Lytechinus pictus: one gene and its partner. The protein of the gene in region 2 purifies or fractionates together with the protein of the main gene of each other region. This does not show direct contact. Links are inferred from orthologs where the notes say so. Each region holds a gene or a part of one and is shown on either strand. Other genes may lie near its edges.

The links. Proteins that work in one complex are often made in the same cells at the same time.
Region 1: the proteins of homologous-pairing protein 2 homolog (region 2) and meiotic nuclear division protein 1 homolog purify together in Homo sapiens (co-immunoprecipitation; 6 studies listed by BioGRID and IntAct, counting the BioPlex papers as one, with this or other methods). This does not show direct contact. The link is inferred for Lytechinus pictus from reciprocal best matches to the Homo sapiens genes PSMC3IP and MND1.

The regions. Positions count from the first base shown.
Region 1 is NC_087246.1:19,389,949-19,397,865, forward strand, and holds the start of meiotic nuclear division protein 1 homolog, read left to right. Parts: upstream 1-4,880; 5' UTR 4,881-4,951; coding exon 4,952-4,954; intron 4,955-7,917. UniProt on the Homo sapiens protein: Required for proper homologous chromosome pairing and efficient cross-over and intragenic recombination during meiosis.
Region 2 is NC_087257.1:29,332,334-29,339,699, forward strand, and holds the start of homologous-pairing protein 2 homolog, read left to right. Parts: upstream 1-4,347; 5' UTR 4,348-4,517; coding exon 4,518-4,542; intron 4,543-7,366. Other genes in the region: mucin-2-like, read left to right, coding at 1-85, 664-731, 1,216-1,347. UniProt on the Homo sapiens protein: Plays an important role in meiotic recombination. Stimulates DMC1-mediated strand exchange required for pairing homologous chromosomes during meiosis.

The DNA of each region.
Region 1 (7,917 bases), on a different chromosome or scaffold from region 2:
TGATCAAAACACGTTACGCAGCAGAGTAACTGTGTTATATTGATCTATATATTTCCAGCATGCACACACAGAAAATCTTTGGTGGGGGAATTTTATTTCTGTGACATCAATTTCAAACATATTTTCAAGTGAATTTGCTGCATATGTTGAAATAAAAATTATCATTATGCTGTATATGAGTGAATCATTGCATTTTGGAGCTTAAAGAAAGTTTTACTATATTAGTATTATATTTTTGTTTTTATCTGCACATGCATATTTTCCAACACTTAAATTGATTTTATTTCATTTAAGATTGGACGACGGATACACTGGATGATAATATAGATGGTCCAGGATTATCTGGGAAGGAAACTACAGGTGTTGAACACAGAAAACCGTTTACAAGAAAACAACTGGAGTTTGTGAAAGGTAATTGTGTAAGAATTCACTTCAGTGGAAAAAATTGCAAAGCTTCATTAAATAAAACAGATTGTACTCCTGCAGTGTCATAGCTGGAAAAAAAATTGTGAGGAATGGTAAAAATACTGAAAAAGACCAAATGTCATCCCCATTTATAGGATTACACGTCCTTTCTAACACCCCCCCCCCTGGAAAAAAATCAATATGCTGGCGGGGGGGGGGGAGTGGACACTTTGGCCCCAGGTATGCATGTGGTATGGTATTTGTCATCATTTGGGCAACCTCCCATTAATATAACGGGTTATTTTCTGCTAATCTATGGTTAAACATGAATTTCTTTATCATATTGTACAAAATGTTTTGTTGATATTTGCTAATTGGTACTATTCAATTGAAGGGTAGTGTATTATGCAAATTTCTCGATATTTTAGAAAAATATATCAATTTCTCAAGAAAGCTTGCACGCACGAGCATTGATGTTTTGAACCCGTAGCTGACATACTGTCCTTTGCATTGTTTTCATCCCATATTCCTTATTACAGCTGCAAGAAATTAATCTTGCCGGGTACGCATTCACTTCACCTTGGTCGAGTGCAGCACAGTGGATAAATGTGTTGCTGAAGGAAAACACCATTGCTAGGATTCAAACCCACGACACTCTGTTGAAAGGTGAGAGTCAGAACCACTAGACCACGACGCACCCACAGTTAACAAGCTGATGTCATACTCCCACTTGTTCTTTTGTATTTTATAACAAGAAGTCATGTTTATTCATATTTTGACCTCCAAGAACTAAAAAGTGGAGTGAAGATTTATTTAATGTAAACACATGCATTGCTTGAAATCATTTTATGCTACGTGGGACATATCATACACACGTGTACGAAAATATGAAATTATTATGATTTCATTTTATAACATAAGCCTAACACATATTCCTGACGATCATGTGCACATTCCAGTAATTTTTCCCAAAATGTTGCTAAACCTTCAAATCAAAGACTTTGTTATCAGATTTTAACGAAATTGTCAACATTATGCTTTTCTGATTAATTCTCTTCCTACCTAAATCTTCCCTTTCCTCATGCTTTCTTTCTATGGACCCTTCATTCTCCTTATAACTATGTTATATGTAAAATGTAACCGGTCGTCCAACCCATTTGATTGAAGGGCTAGGTACTCTAGACTGAAAGTTATGTGATTTAAATTCAAAGAGTACATCAGACAAAAAAAAACACTGAAAATTTCATCAAAATTGAATGAGGATTAACAAAATTATGACGAATTAAAGTTGTTATTTTTTTATAAAACTGTTCTCTGCAAGTCCTCATGAATATACAAGATCCCAATTTATATATTTTTTTGTATTATATGAATTCAAATTTTGTCCAAGCTAGGTTGTAAAAAATTACGATTGACTACTGATATACTGTGTAAGACAAAAATTATATTATTTCTCACACATAGTTGAGTTATTCATCTGATTCAACACAACAAAAATAGACAAAAAATAAATAAGTGGGAATCTTGTATATTTGAACAATGGGAAATAGTTAAAAAATAGATGTGCTACTAAGAATTATTTTCTATATGATTTGCAAAATATTAAAAAAAGATGTCGCTATTTTTCTTGTTTTTTTTCTATTTTCATGATATATTCTTTATTATTCTATTATTCTATATATTCTATTTTTGATATAGATATTATTTATTCCTTTAAGTATCTTTAATGTATTTATGATAAACTTTTGGCATGTTTCTACAGAAAATCATTAAAAAAGGATTTATCTTTTCCGGACTCGAAAAACCTTATCGCCCTTAAACCAACCTGCTTCTACAAACCAAATAATCTGATTAACTCGCTTTTCGCGTTGCAAATACGGCGGAAATCGGAAAATTCAACCTATAACCTCACGTTGCATTGTACATATGTCCAAAATTGCATCTTCTTAGGAAAATATTCCAAATTTGTGGTAGATCTCACTCAATGTAGCAGGTATACGTGTTGCACGATCAGCTGGTGAGATCGAAAAGGCCAGAATGTGCAAATTTATGTACTGCGAAATTGCACTTTTGGGATTAAGCACTTCCGCCAGACACGATACGCTATTTTGCCGTGTGTTTTTACAGAAAAGTTAAACGGATTAACATGGCAATAACCACCTCTCAGAGATGGTTATGAGAAACCATATTTTGCTTGAAGCAGTTTATCAATAAACCGCATCGCGTCTGTTTCTACAAAATTCTACAGGAAAGTTTTCCGGGATTCTGGATACTTACGCGGGTAATACCTTTTAACGATTCTATGTAGAAACACGCCATTTGATATATCTTTTAGGTGAAAAGAAAATAGAGAAATATTAGGAGGTTCTATTTTTATGGGGGTACTATTTTCCCCCCTTTTGGGGATATTTATTTCCTCTAAGTTTGGTACTCTTTACCTTTAATCATTTGGCCATGTGAAGGCTATCACACATTTTGAGTTTAATCTTCGAAATTTGGTGTTCATCAGTTTGTTGTCCAAACTCTGTCTTACATTTAGATTTGTTTATAGGAAGATTAACATAATATCTATGTGGAGTGCAATCATTGACCTCTTGTAGAGTCGTGCAGTCACATGTATTCATAATGCTGGTGCTTTTATGCCATACATGTACTTGTCAATACTGGGTTCCACTCTTTTGTACTTGAACTTATTAGTAAAAAAAATATTTTATTAATGTCATTGAAGTAGCTGTGTGAAAGCAATTACACACAACAGATTTAAAATCAAGGTTATTGTATTACAAGTATCAGGTTTGTTTGCAGAACAGTGGTTTTGCCAAGTACTCAATCCACGTAAAAAGCCATCAGAGAGAACATGTTTATTCTTGGAAATGTTATTCATATGTTGTGTTTTTCAATTAAACTCTGTCTTGATACATGTTTATTTTAGATACCAAGATTGACAGAGTATAGATGTCAACGAGGAGCAAAGTCATATATATTCATAACTTATGTGCTTTAATTATAAAGTCTATACTTGTGAATGCTGTGTTCCATTTATGCTGTACTTAAACTTCTTATAGTAAAAACATTTGACGTTCTTGAAATAACTGTTTTCATCATTTTTTTCTTGTGCATACTTAATCCATTACCAAACCTACCATTAACCCAAGCTATATATGCTGTTCACCATTGGTCTACCATTCACTGTACTTTATTGGCCTACTATACATTGTACACCTTTGGTCTACTGTCTATCATTCAGTGTAAACCATTGGTCTACCATTCACAGTACACTTGTGGTCTATAATGTATGGCCAATGGTGTAAATTGAATGGTTGACCAATGGTATAGAGTGTATGGTATGACAATGGTGTACAGTGAACGGTAGGCCAATGGTGTACGGTAAATGGTAGGTCAACGGTGTATGGTAAGCCAATGGTGTACGGTGATTGGTAGGTCAATGGTGTATGGTGAATGGTAGGGCAATGGTGAACGGTGTATGGTGAATGGTAGGTGAATGGTGTACGATGAATGGTACGCGAATGGTGTACGGTGAATGGTAGGTGTACGGTGTATGGTGAATGGTAGGCGAATGGTTTATGGTGAATGGTACGCGAATGGTGTACGGTGAATGGTACGCGAATGGTGTACGGTGAATGGTAGGCGAATGGTGTATGGTGAATGGTACGTGAATGGTGTACGGTGAATGGTACGCGAATGGTGTACGGTGAATGGTAGGTCAACAGTGTATGGTGAATGGTGTAAGGTGAATGGTAGACCAATGGTGTCCAGTGAACGGTGGCTGAATGGTAAATGGTAGGCCAGTGAATGGTGGCTGAATGGTGGTCAATGGTAAACCTGTCTATAGTGGCCATGGTAGATCAATGGTGAATGGTGTTTGATCAATGGTATATGACTGGTAAATGGTGCTCATGAATATGGTAATAGTAACGTCCCAATTATTTAAATTAGTTTGAATGGTATACCATTGGGGCTTGAATGGTATACCATTGGTGTATGATGGGTGCTGTGCGAATGGTATTCCAATGGTATATCAATGGTGTTTCAATGGTGTATGGTGTATGGTATTTCAATGGTATACCATTCAATTTTTTTTATAAGGATATCAGAAAGTGTTTTACATAAACGATACGCAGATATTCTATTTTGATCGGGCACCATTCCAAAACAGGGGCCGCGGAACCGGGGGGGCTGGGGGGCTTCAGCCCCCCCCCCCCTCCCACTTTTTTCCAAAACCGTGTACATTAAAACGTAAAAATGACCATATGATTGTGATTTTTAGCATACTCAGCCTCCCCCCCCCCCCCCACTTTGAAAACCGTTCCGCGGCCCCTGCAAAATGCAAAATCTGCCAATTTATCATATAGAAGGGCAATCCCATAAAAATATGTACGTCCGACCCCCTATGGCCCTAGCTAGCTATGTGGGACATTCTACTATACTATACAATTGGCCTTCCATACTATTTGCAATCGCGCGAGACTCGAAAAAGAATACGGCCAAGCCCAAGCCAGGCAGAGCAACCGAGGCCCTTTACAAAATGGTGAGTATTTCACGTTTTATTAATAGCACAGCAAATGAAAAATACGGAATTATATTATTAAAGGCTTGAAAATTACAGAAGTGGGCTCAAAAGTATTAAAGAACGCTGCGAGAATTTTCGTTGCTTTGTCTCCGTCTCCAGATCGATCCAGCGCAGTCACCATCCAGATTCCAGTAACCCAGCCCCAGGGCCAGGCCACTCATTCAATCATCAATGAACAAGGTTATGATATAACCTTGTTCTCAGTTATATATCTCCATGACCATGTGTAGCAAAATAACGATGGCAATGTTTGGCTTATTTTCTCTTTTTCTTTGGGACAAATGCTTGATTTTTTACACTGACAGATTCCATTACACCTATTCGTCATACAACTTGGCCAAGTGAAGTTAAGCCTGGCTTAAGTAAATTTGATTCTTTAAATTATTTTTTTCTTAATTAAAAATAGAGATAAAAAAACAAAAATTTTCTTGCCATATTATTTTCCACCAATAGAGGGCGTACACAAAAATATGCCCAAAATTCAAGTTTTTTGTGCGCTCTAGTGAATACAAAAATTATTCCCAAGTTACTAATGAAAAATAAATTGCAACTGTATAGAAATTAGTAATTTTGGTCACAAAAGTGATATTTTAATCATTTTTTTAAGTGTGTGCTCCGACTCTGTACAGCATTGACATGCCATAGACAGTCTAACCCAGGGAGCTCCGGCCCGCTGTGCGGGCCGGAGCCCAGGGGCTTACCGTGTATTTTACCATACTCACGGGACTAGGGTGATTTATGGTCTAAATATTTCTCCAAATGAATTGTGAAAACAGAAATTATGCACTTACCACGATTATATGGATAAAGGTCTAACGAGTGGCAGTTTCCTGACATCTGGGCACAGACTGGAACCTCCAAAAACGAAAAGTTCTCTCCTTCTACCCCCGTCTCGATCGGCCATTTTTGTTACGCGGGCGGGAGCTCCCTGGGTTAGCCATAGTCCAACTTGCACTCACACTAATACGAGGTTAGTATATATACTAACCTCGTACAAGGGACCGTGTTTGACCCTGGATTTCGAAGTAGTCGGCAAACATCACTTCATTGCTGAAGTAATATTTGCCGAAACTCCTTCTCGCTACGCACCGGGGCTCTTTCCGATAAGTAGCAATAGTAATACATCAAAAAATTATACATATGATTATGAAGTAATTTCATTACAAAAAGAGCAAATTTTGCTTACCTCGGCCTAGCAAGTGACTTCGTTTGTCTCTTCTACGGAAATACAAGGAAGCCCGTTGGTGGCGCTAATAAATTTCACAACCTTGATTCAGCTCCTCGGTAATTTTATAACTGTGTCTAAATTCTTTGAATGCGCAATTCTTATGATTAATTTACTAATTATGGGCACCAATAAATGAAATACCTTCAAAAACATAATTCAAGATTGGCGATGATAACACTTTTTTGCAATTAATTTAAAATGATGACTGATAAAAAAAAAAAAAAAAAAAATACACATGCCTGGAACGAAACCAGCAGTACAAGCTTTAACGAACGTCAAATAATATGGCACTATACCAAAGTCTATACAATGAAAAGATTGGACACTTCACGGACTTCGCGTAATGCCTTGCGTACATTTGCGTGTAAAATAGTGTAGGTGCCTAGTCTTTCCCTTGTCGTGTCTTTGATATGAATATAAATCGCGCGCCCTCTTCAGGCGAATATTGATATCCATGCTGACCAATTTTTATCTCCATGAAATCTTCACTAAAGATCAAGAAAATATACATATTTTTTAAAAGAAACTTCAAGGAGAAGTCACGGAAGGATCTAAATGATTCGGTAAGTGTCATAGCAGAATGTGAAATACCAGATTATGCGTGATATTTTATGTGGGCAAAAGCCCAGTATATTTTGGATGTGTCGTGTGTGGCGTGCATATGACTGATATCCTTCGTACGCGAGACGATATGAACCCATGGGTGTCCAACCTGTAGATTCCCCACAGGCAGGGTGGTTGCAGTGAACAAGTGGGCTTCGCGGGTCGGAGCCCGGGGGGAGCGTTTCATGAAAGGACTTGTCGGACGTTTTATCCGACAAGTCCCATTTTATCCGACAGTTACCATAGTAACAGAACCTCTCAGCCAATCAACATCAGAGAAAGATGTCAGATCTGACAACTTGTCGGATGAAAATGTTGATGAAACACTCCCCAAGTCCAGGACTCGTCCGTGTAAATTAGGCAGAGCAATACTCTCCAAAATGGGGTAGAATGGGGTCGCAATAGCACTCCAAATAAAAGGGGAAAAAATAATTATGCACTTACCTCGATTATATGGATGAAGGTCTATCGTGACACAAACTGGACCCTCATTCCTCAAAAAAAGGGAAAAGTTCTGTCTCGTTCGTTCTCCTTTCAAAATTGAATTGAAAACAAAATGGCCGATCGGTACAGAGAACGAACGCGACATAACAGTCTAACTTTTCCTTTTTTTAGAGGGTCCAGTTTGTGCCTCGATGTCAGGATTCTGTGTCACGATAGACCTTTTTCCATTATAATCGATAAGTGCATGATTTATTTTTTCCCCTTTTATTTGGAGTGCTATTACTGCTATTGCTATTATTAAAGTAAGACTATACTCTGTAAAGTCTAAAGAGGACTGTACTCAACGGAAGAAGAAGACCCCATTCTTCCCCATTTTGGAGAGTATTGATCTGCCTAATATTACACGGACGAGTCCTGGGCTCCGACCTGCTTTGCGGCCGAGGGTCGGAGCTCTCTGGGTTCAGTAGTAGTAGATAGGCCTACCGCCGGTATCTGCAGCTTGTGCGCTGGCCTAGCCTTGCCCTTGAGGACTCCATGATCATATTGTGATTTTGATATTGTCATTTGATCACGAAGCCTTGAACCGCCTCCCATATATAGAAGAGACACATGTATGGATTTTCCTAGGAAATCCTTCTTTGACAAT
Region 2 (7,366 bases):
GGGAAGAAGACAAGGACATGGAAGACATTGAAGCAGATAATTGCCTCAGAAAGAGTTCAACTCAATAGACCAGTAGGATCAACATGTAAGTTACAAAGATAGGGCCCTTTAGAGGGATATTATTACATAAGGGACCCAGATACACAAATCTTAGTAATAACGTTGACTTGTGACTATGATTGCTTATAGAGGTCGAGGTTGAATAAATGGACATTTCATAAAAATAAAACCTCTTCTGGACAAAATCAAATTAATGACAGGGTGTGACTGTTGTGTTTGGGCTAAAAACCACTACTCAACTACACCCAAAACACCACTAATCCAAGCTGTAATCTACAACCATTCTCCAACTTATACACTACCATTTCTACACATAAAGGACTGCTAAATCACATCAACAACAACAACAAAAGGAAGGAAGGAGTATTTGACATAAAACTACTACTTTTTCAATACTACATCACACAGAACCCACATATATCTATGTACCAAACAGTTAAACCACTGATCAGTGGAATTCTCTGAACTTTAAACCACAAGGTCACATTAAAACCATATATTTCTGTATTCTTTGATTGCTGGAATGCAGAAATAAAACAAACTGAAAGATATTACATAATGGATTTACTATTGACACATGTTTTTTTTTCTCCATTAACACAGATAGCAGCATTGATGCACCACCTTCAAGAAAACCACCAAAGAAATACTCTGATATTTCAGGTTTGCCAGTAAGTAATAATCTCTAGAATTCAGTTATCGATTCATCGTAATTTCACAAGTATGTGACACTTCTCTTGAGATGCTTTTTGACTTTGCTAGGATTTACGAATATCACTACCTGAATTAGGGTCTATGTATACTTACTTTCCATAAAAAATACTTTTTCATAATGGTCACTATTTAAAATTTGATAAAAGTGACATTATTATTTGGGATGATTATTGATAATATTAGAAGTGAAATGATATTCATATATGGAAAGGGGGTCTGTTAAGTACGATATTTGTGAATTACTCTTCCTAACAAAGAAGAGGTATGATATTCAAAACACAATTAAATAAGTTACTCTTTTTGTGTACTATGAATAGGGGTCATTGTGAGTAGCAAATTCGACCATTAATTTTTTACTACATTGAAAATGCAATTAGAAAATTGTACTTTCAAAAAAATTGTCTCACATATGATGTGTTACTCTTGAATGTTCTTTTCCAGGCAAAATACACAGACCCGCGCACCAAGCTGAGGTATTCAAATACGGAAGAGTTTGCTCAGTTACGGATGCTGCCTCAAGATATTGTAAATGGACTCTTAGCTTTGAGAAGAGCAAATTTGGATGTCCAGTGATGGGGAAGTATCAGGAGCAAGAGTGGAAGAACAAGGAAGAGGATAACACAGAGAAAAATGAAGGAGGAGATGACAATCAATGAGAAAACAAGGAGGAGATGGATTTAATAGAACAATATGACAAATAAAAGAGGAAAAGCATAAGAAGGAGAAAGAGGAAGATGATGAGGAAGAGAAGGATAATATGTGGTCTGTGGAATAGTTGAAGAAGAGGAGTAGGAGAGGAGGAGAAATGGGAAGACAAAAGATCAGCTCATCTGAAATCCGTATTAGACTTCACATGATTTAAACTACCTTATTCAAGCTAATAGTCTGCCAAGGATCATTGTTCTTGTTTCGCTTTTCTGATTGTTTCAAATGGAATTATATACCCTTTCCATATATATATAGTGTTCACACGTTAGTTTAGTCGGAAATGGGGGTTCCCGTGCACCATCAGAGAACATTTTTTTTCACCAATTTTTTGTATTGCCTGAAATGACTAGTTAATTAATTTTGACGTTCCCTTTGGCTTTCGAAAAATAACAACCGGGCTGTCCAGAGAACGATTGTAATCAATTCCCACTATATGAATCATAGTAAGAAGCGTATTCATTTAAGATTTTCCCATTGTCTGTGTAAAAAAATATGAAAATAATTGGTTTTCATGAAAAATCCAAGATACTGTCGAAATTACCAATTTTGAACCCCATGGGACACGATTTGGCAAAGGGAACATCAAGATTAATTTACTATACTCTTCAGGTAATACGAAAAGTTCGTTAAAAAATGTTCTCCGATGGTGCACAGAACCCCCATTTCTTATTCAACTACATGGTGAAACAAATTACCCCACTAATGACAAACGATCTGCCTCAACTATCATTTTTGTTTTTGGAAAGAATAATGATATCACTATACTGTAGCTCTTTGCACTGAGCCAGACAACAATAATTCATCCTATAGCTGCTTTATTGACATTTTTTGCTTCATGTTATCCCAATTGACTTTAACCAGAAATTATTTCTGAGCTTTGTCATGGTGTATATATTCGAGCCTTAAGAACTAAGGGGAGGGGGGGGGGGGGAGAGGGGTGGATGTCCAGACACTCTTCTGTTTGGCTTTCATAAAATCAATTACTAAACAGCACAGATTATTGTTAAACTTTCTTCTTTGTGATGATGTCAAACATCCTCCCAATTTATTTATTTGTTATAAATTTGCAATAAAATATAAACTTTAAAAATGTTTTCAGGCTATTTCATTGAAGAGTATGTGAGGATATGAGAAAGCATTATTTTGTTCTCCATTGTGAGAAATAATAATCCACAGAATTAAGTATAGATAGTAACACTTTCCATCATAATTAGATAATCAAATTCTCTTGTTTTGCTAAGGGTTTATACATGGTTCTAGATGCTTGATTAGACTTTGCCATGGCATAACGATTGATTTTAAAAAGGGGAACTTTACAAGCCAAGTCCACCCCAACAATGTTAATGTGCAAAATTTTCATGACATAGCAATTATATGCAAATTGCAAAATAAGATTATTGATGACCTTAGCCATGCACTATTTTGTATTTTGTTATATCAAACATGCTGCAATTCCTCCATGATTATGTGTAATTTCCTTTGTTGTGATTCAATTTAGAGCACCCTTACAGTCAAATCTTAAAAAAAAAATGCAATATTTCATATTACATGTATAGAATACAAAAAGGTCACCTGTGATTAATTTTCATATCAACTTCTATTCTATTTGATGATTATAATTGTATGCAAGTTAATTGAAAAGTGGAAGGGGATAGAGAGAGGGAGAGAGCCAGGGAGAGGGGGGGGGGCATATCACTGCCATCGGAGAGTGGACAGCATTAGCGAGAAAAAACACGGAACAAGGGGTGTTTTCGGAGAAAGGCATGGAAAAAAAGGCCCCCTAAATCACAGTGGCCTAAAATGCGAGTGAGTAATTTGCAAATCTGGAACACTTGCTCATAAATCCCTGTTTAGAGTGTTCAAATCTGGGACATCTGCCCTCCAATCCTTGTTTAGGCAATTTTTTTTTTCAGTACTATTCTTGCAGATGCTGTCCACTCTTCAAAAGCAGTGACCCCCCACCCCTGGAGAGAGATAGTTGGAGTAGGGAAGAGGAAGGGAGAGGGAAGAATTAAAGAGGAAGAGAGAAAGGGAATTAAAGGAGGGGCTGGGGGGGGGGGCTAATTTGAGGAACTCCTCATTGGGTGGAGAGAGTTAAAAGAGAGAACGCATATATTTTAAGAACTTGCAATAAGTGGCAAGGATATATTGAGGATAAAAAAAACGGACGATTTCACTTTCCACATACCCCATGGGATCTCGCTGCACACAAGATAAATGGTTTTGGCCTGTCATACATGAATTCAGAATTTCATAAAAAACAAGGCTAAATAATATGAAAGTTCTGATGATCAAGAAGCACTTGCATAACTTGCCAGCTGTATTGGCAGAAGCTTACAATCAATACTGAGTGAGGGATGGGCCTGGATGGGGTCAATAGAATGTTAGGGTTTATTTTATAGACTACATTTCATGAATATTAATCACACTGAATTGTTGGGATATAAAGTAATTTGTGACCCATTGAGCAATGACATTCCATTTTTAAAGTGTTTACATAGTACAAATATATATGTACCTACATGTAGATAATTATATCCATTTAAACTTATAACGTTTCGGGGCCGGGTATATACCTCCAGTCTGAATAGAATTTCATACCATCCAAAAACAAAGTCGACCCTTCTTCCTTTTCTCCTTTGAAATGATCCTGCTTTCTTCCCCCATCCCATTTTCATTTTTATTTCTTTTTTTATAACATCTTAATTCTTCTTTCTCCTCGATCCGGGTCCTCGATCTACTTTTTCTTCTTCCTCCTCCTCTTCATCTTTTTCTTCTTTAAGTTCTTCTTCCTCTTCTTCTCCTCCTTTCTTGATCGCCATCACCATCATCCAGGCATCATCCCAGATTTGGCAAAATCATGTTACGATTACGCAATGCATCGCGCGCGCCCATGTAGCTAGGTCGATCTTGCGGGAAATTTGAAACTTTGAATTGTAATCTCTCGTCTGCATCGACGCGACTGCAACTGGAAATGTCTGAAGTTTTATCACGATCAATCCTTTCTTCAGAAATTCATCACATTTCAACTTAAAATGAGTAAAGGGAAGGATGCACAAGGTGAGAAATAATAAATCTACCCCACGATTGAAAGTGCACGCATTTGTTCAAACGCAGTCCCACATATGCAAAGTTATGTAGTTATCCACTTGAGTTAATAAGCGATGCCGGCAGATGGTTACTTTTTTGTTACTGAGTTGTACATGAATTTCACTCTGAATTACAAAAATAGTGCAATCGAAATCTATCATTATTCTTCTTTACAACGATGTGTCGTATTTTGTGATTATGTAAATATGGAATTGTCAGTTAGACAGTGAATACTTGTTCAGTTTGTTCATCAATTCCTACTAAAAAGTAAAATTAAAGTAAAAAAAGTCAGACTCGGAGATTGTTAAGTATTGTTATTGACATTGTTGCAAAATGAAAATATGCATTGATCAATTGTGATTTGATGATTGTTTCCTTACCATTTAACCAAATGAGATCATTTTCATTGATTTATGTTTGATGTACAAATTATTGTCTGGATGACAGTGAATGCTTTGTCTCTGCAGTTGCATGTTCATTTTATTTTTGGTGTCCTTTGCCATTTGGCTTAAGCTATTAAAATTTTGAAAAAAACTAAACTGTTAGATCTAAATGTTAAAAAGACATTCCATTAGGACCTAAATCTAGTCGATCTATCTGCATTTAAGATGAAACCTGACAGTGAGTGCGGTGATGAAGATGAAAACCTTGCATGTCCCAGTGCAGTGCAGAGTTTTCTTAAAGATTGCTTTCATAAATTTAATATATTCAACAAACAATGAAGCCAAAGCATGTTTAACAATAATATCTTTAAAGGACAAGTTCGCCCCAAACAAAAATTTGATTTGAATAAAAAGAGAAAAATCCAAAAAGCTTAACACTTAAAATTTCATCAAATTCTGATGTAAAAATTATAATAAGAAAGTTATGAGTTTCGCTTAATTTCACAAAACATTACACATCCTGGTCGGTATGCAAATGAGGAGACTGATGATGTCATACACTCACTATTTCTTTTGAATTTCATTATATGAAATATGAAATATTCTATTTTTTTCTCATTGCCAAGTGAATTAATGATTGATTCCTCCCTGAACATGTGGAATTAGCATTTTTTACTATATATGGTTCAGTCAAGTTGGTCCTTATTGTCAAATCTGTTAATTTGAAATATTGTATAATTCAAACAATAAAAAACAAAAGAAATAGTAAGTGAATGGCATCATCGTCTGTCTCATTTGCATGTCACTGAGTAGTGCATATCACTGTTATGTGAAAAATATGCAAAACTTTAAAATGACATAACTTTCTTATTTTACATCCGATTTTGATGAAATTTTCAGCGTTATGCTTCTTTGATTTTCTTTATTTATTCAAATCAAAATTTTTCCAGGGTGGACTTGTCCTTTAAAGATTAAACTTTTTAAATGACAGGGTTCTACATGTATAACTAATGTTGTAAATCGGATCAAAAATCAGATCGAAAATCGGATCGGCAGTTAAGCTTCTAAAATCGAAATCGAATCGAAAATCGAATCGGCGATGTTTAAAAACAAAGGAATACATCAAAATGTTGTTCGCGGTCGCGCGCATCTTCCTGACAAAGTCACAAAGACGAATGCATTGGAATGGAAGTCGCCAACATGCGCGATCGTTTGGAACATGTTTTGAAGCCAGGGGTTTTGAGGTGTTATTGCTTTAAAATAACCGAGTGATTTTTATTAGAAAGATAAACGAAAGACGCATCTTCCGAGCGAAGGCGCAAAGGAAAATAAAATGAAAATATTTCTCATAGATCACAGGTTAATGAACGATCGGCGGGACATCTTTTAGAAGTATTTTTAGGTGCTAGCGATTTAGAATTATTGGAATGATCTCTTACGACGCATCATCTTAAAGTCGCAAGTGCAATTAAAATGAAGTAGACGACGCAAGCACGCACGTTGATTTGAAATATGTTATTAAAATGTTTTGGGTAGCTAGCGTTTTCAAATCAATTTGAAGTTCACGGCGGGGTCCGCTATCACCACGAGGTTGAAGAGAAGATGTCTATCATCATAAAGGGGGTAAGAGAGTAGCGCAGTGAGCTCCGTCGGTAATACGACCTTTCAAAGTTCACGGCGGCATCCGCTATCACCACGAGATTGAAAATAAAATGTATATCATCATAAACGATGTAAGAGAGTAACGCAATAAGCTCCGTCAATAGTACAGTCTTTAAAAGTTTATGGCGGGGTCCGCTATCACCACGAGGTTGAAGAGAAGATTTATATCATTATAAAGGGGGTAAGAGAGTAGCGCAGTGAGCTCCGTCGGTAATACGACCTTTCAAAGTTCACGGCGGCATCCGCTATCACCACGAGGTTGAAAATAAAATGAATATCATCATAAACGATGTAAGAGAGCAACGCAATAAGCTCCGTCAATAGTACAGTCTTTAAAAATTAATGGCGGGGTCCGCTATCACCACGAGGTTGAAGAGAAGATTTATATCATTATAAAGGGGGTAAGAGAGTAGCGCAGTGAGCTCCGTCGGTAATACGACCTTTCAAAGTTCACGGCGGCATCCGCTATCACCACGAGATTGAAAATAAAATGTATATCATCATAAACGATGTAAGAGAGTAACGCAATAAGCTCCGTCAGTAGCACGATCTTTAAAAGTTCACGGCGGGGTCCGCTATCACCATGAGGTTGAAAATAAAATGAATATCATCATAAACGATGTAAGAGAGTAACGCAATAAGCTCCGTCAGTAGCACGATCTTTAAAAGTTCACGGCGGGGTCCGCTATCACCACGAGGTTGAAAATAAAATGTAAATCATCATAAACGATGTAAGAGAGTAACGCAAT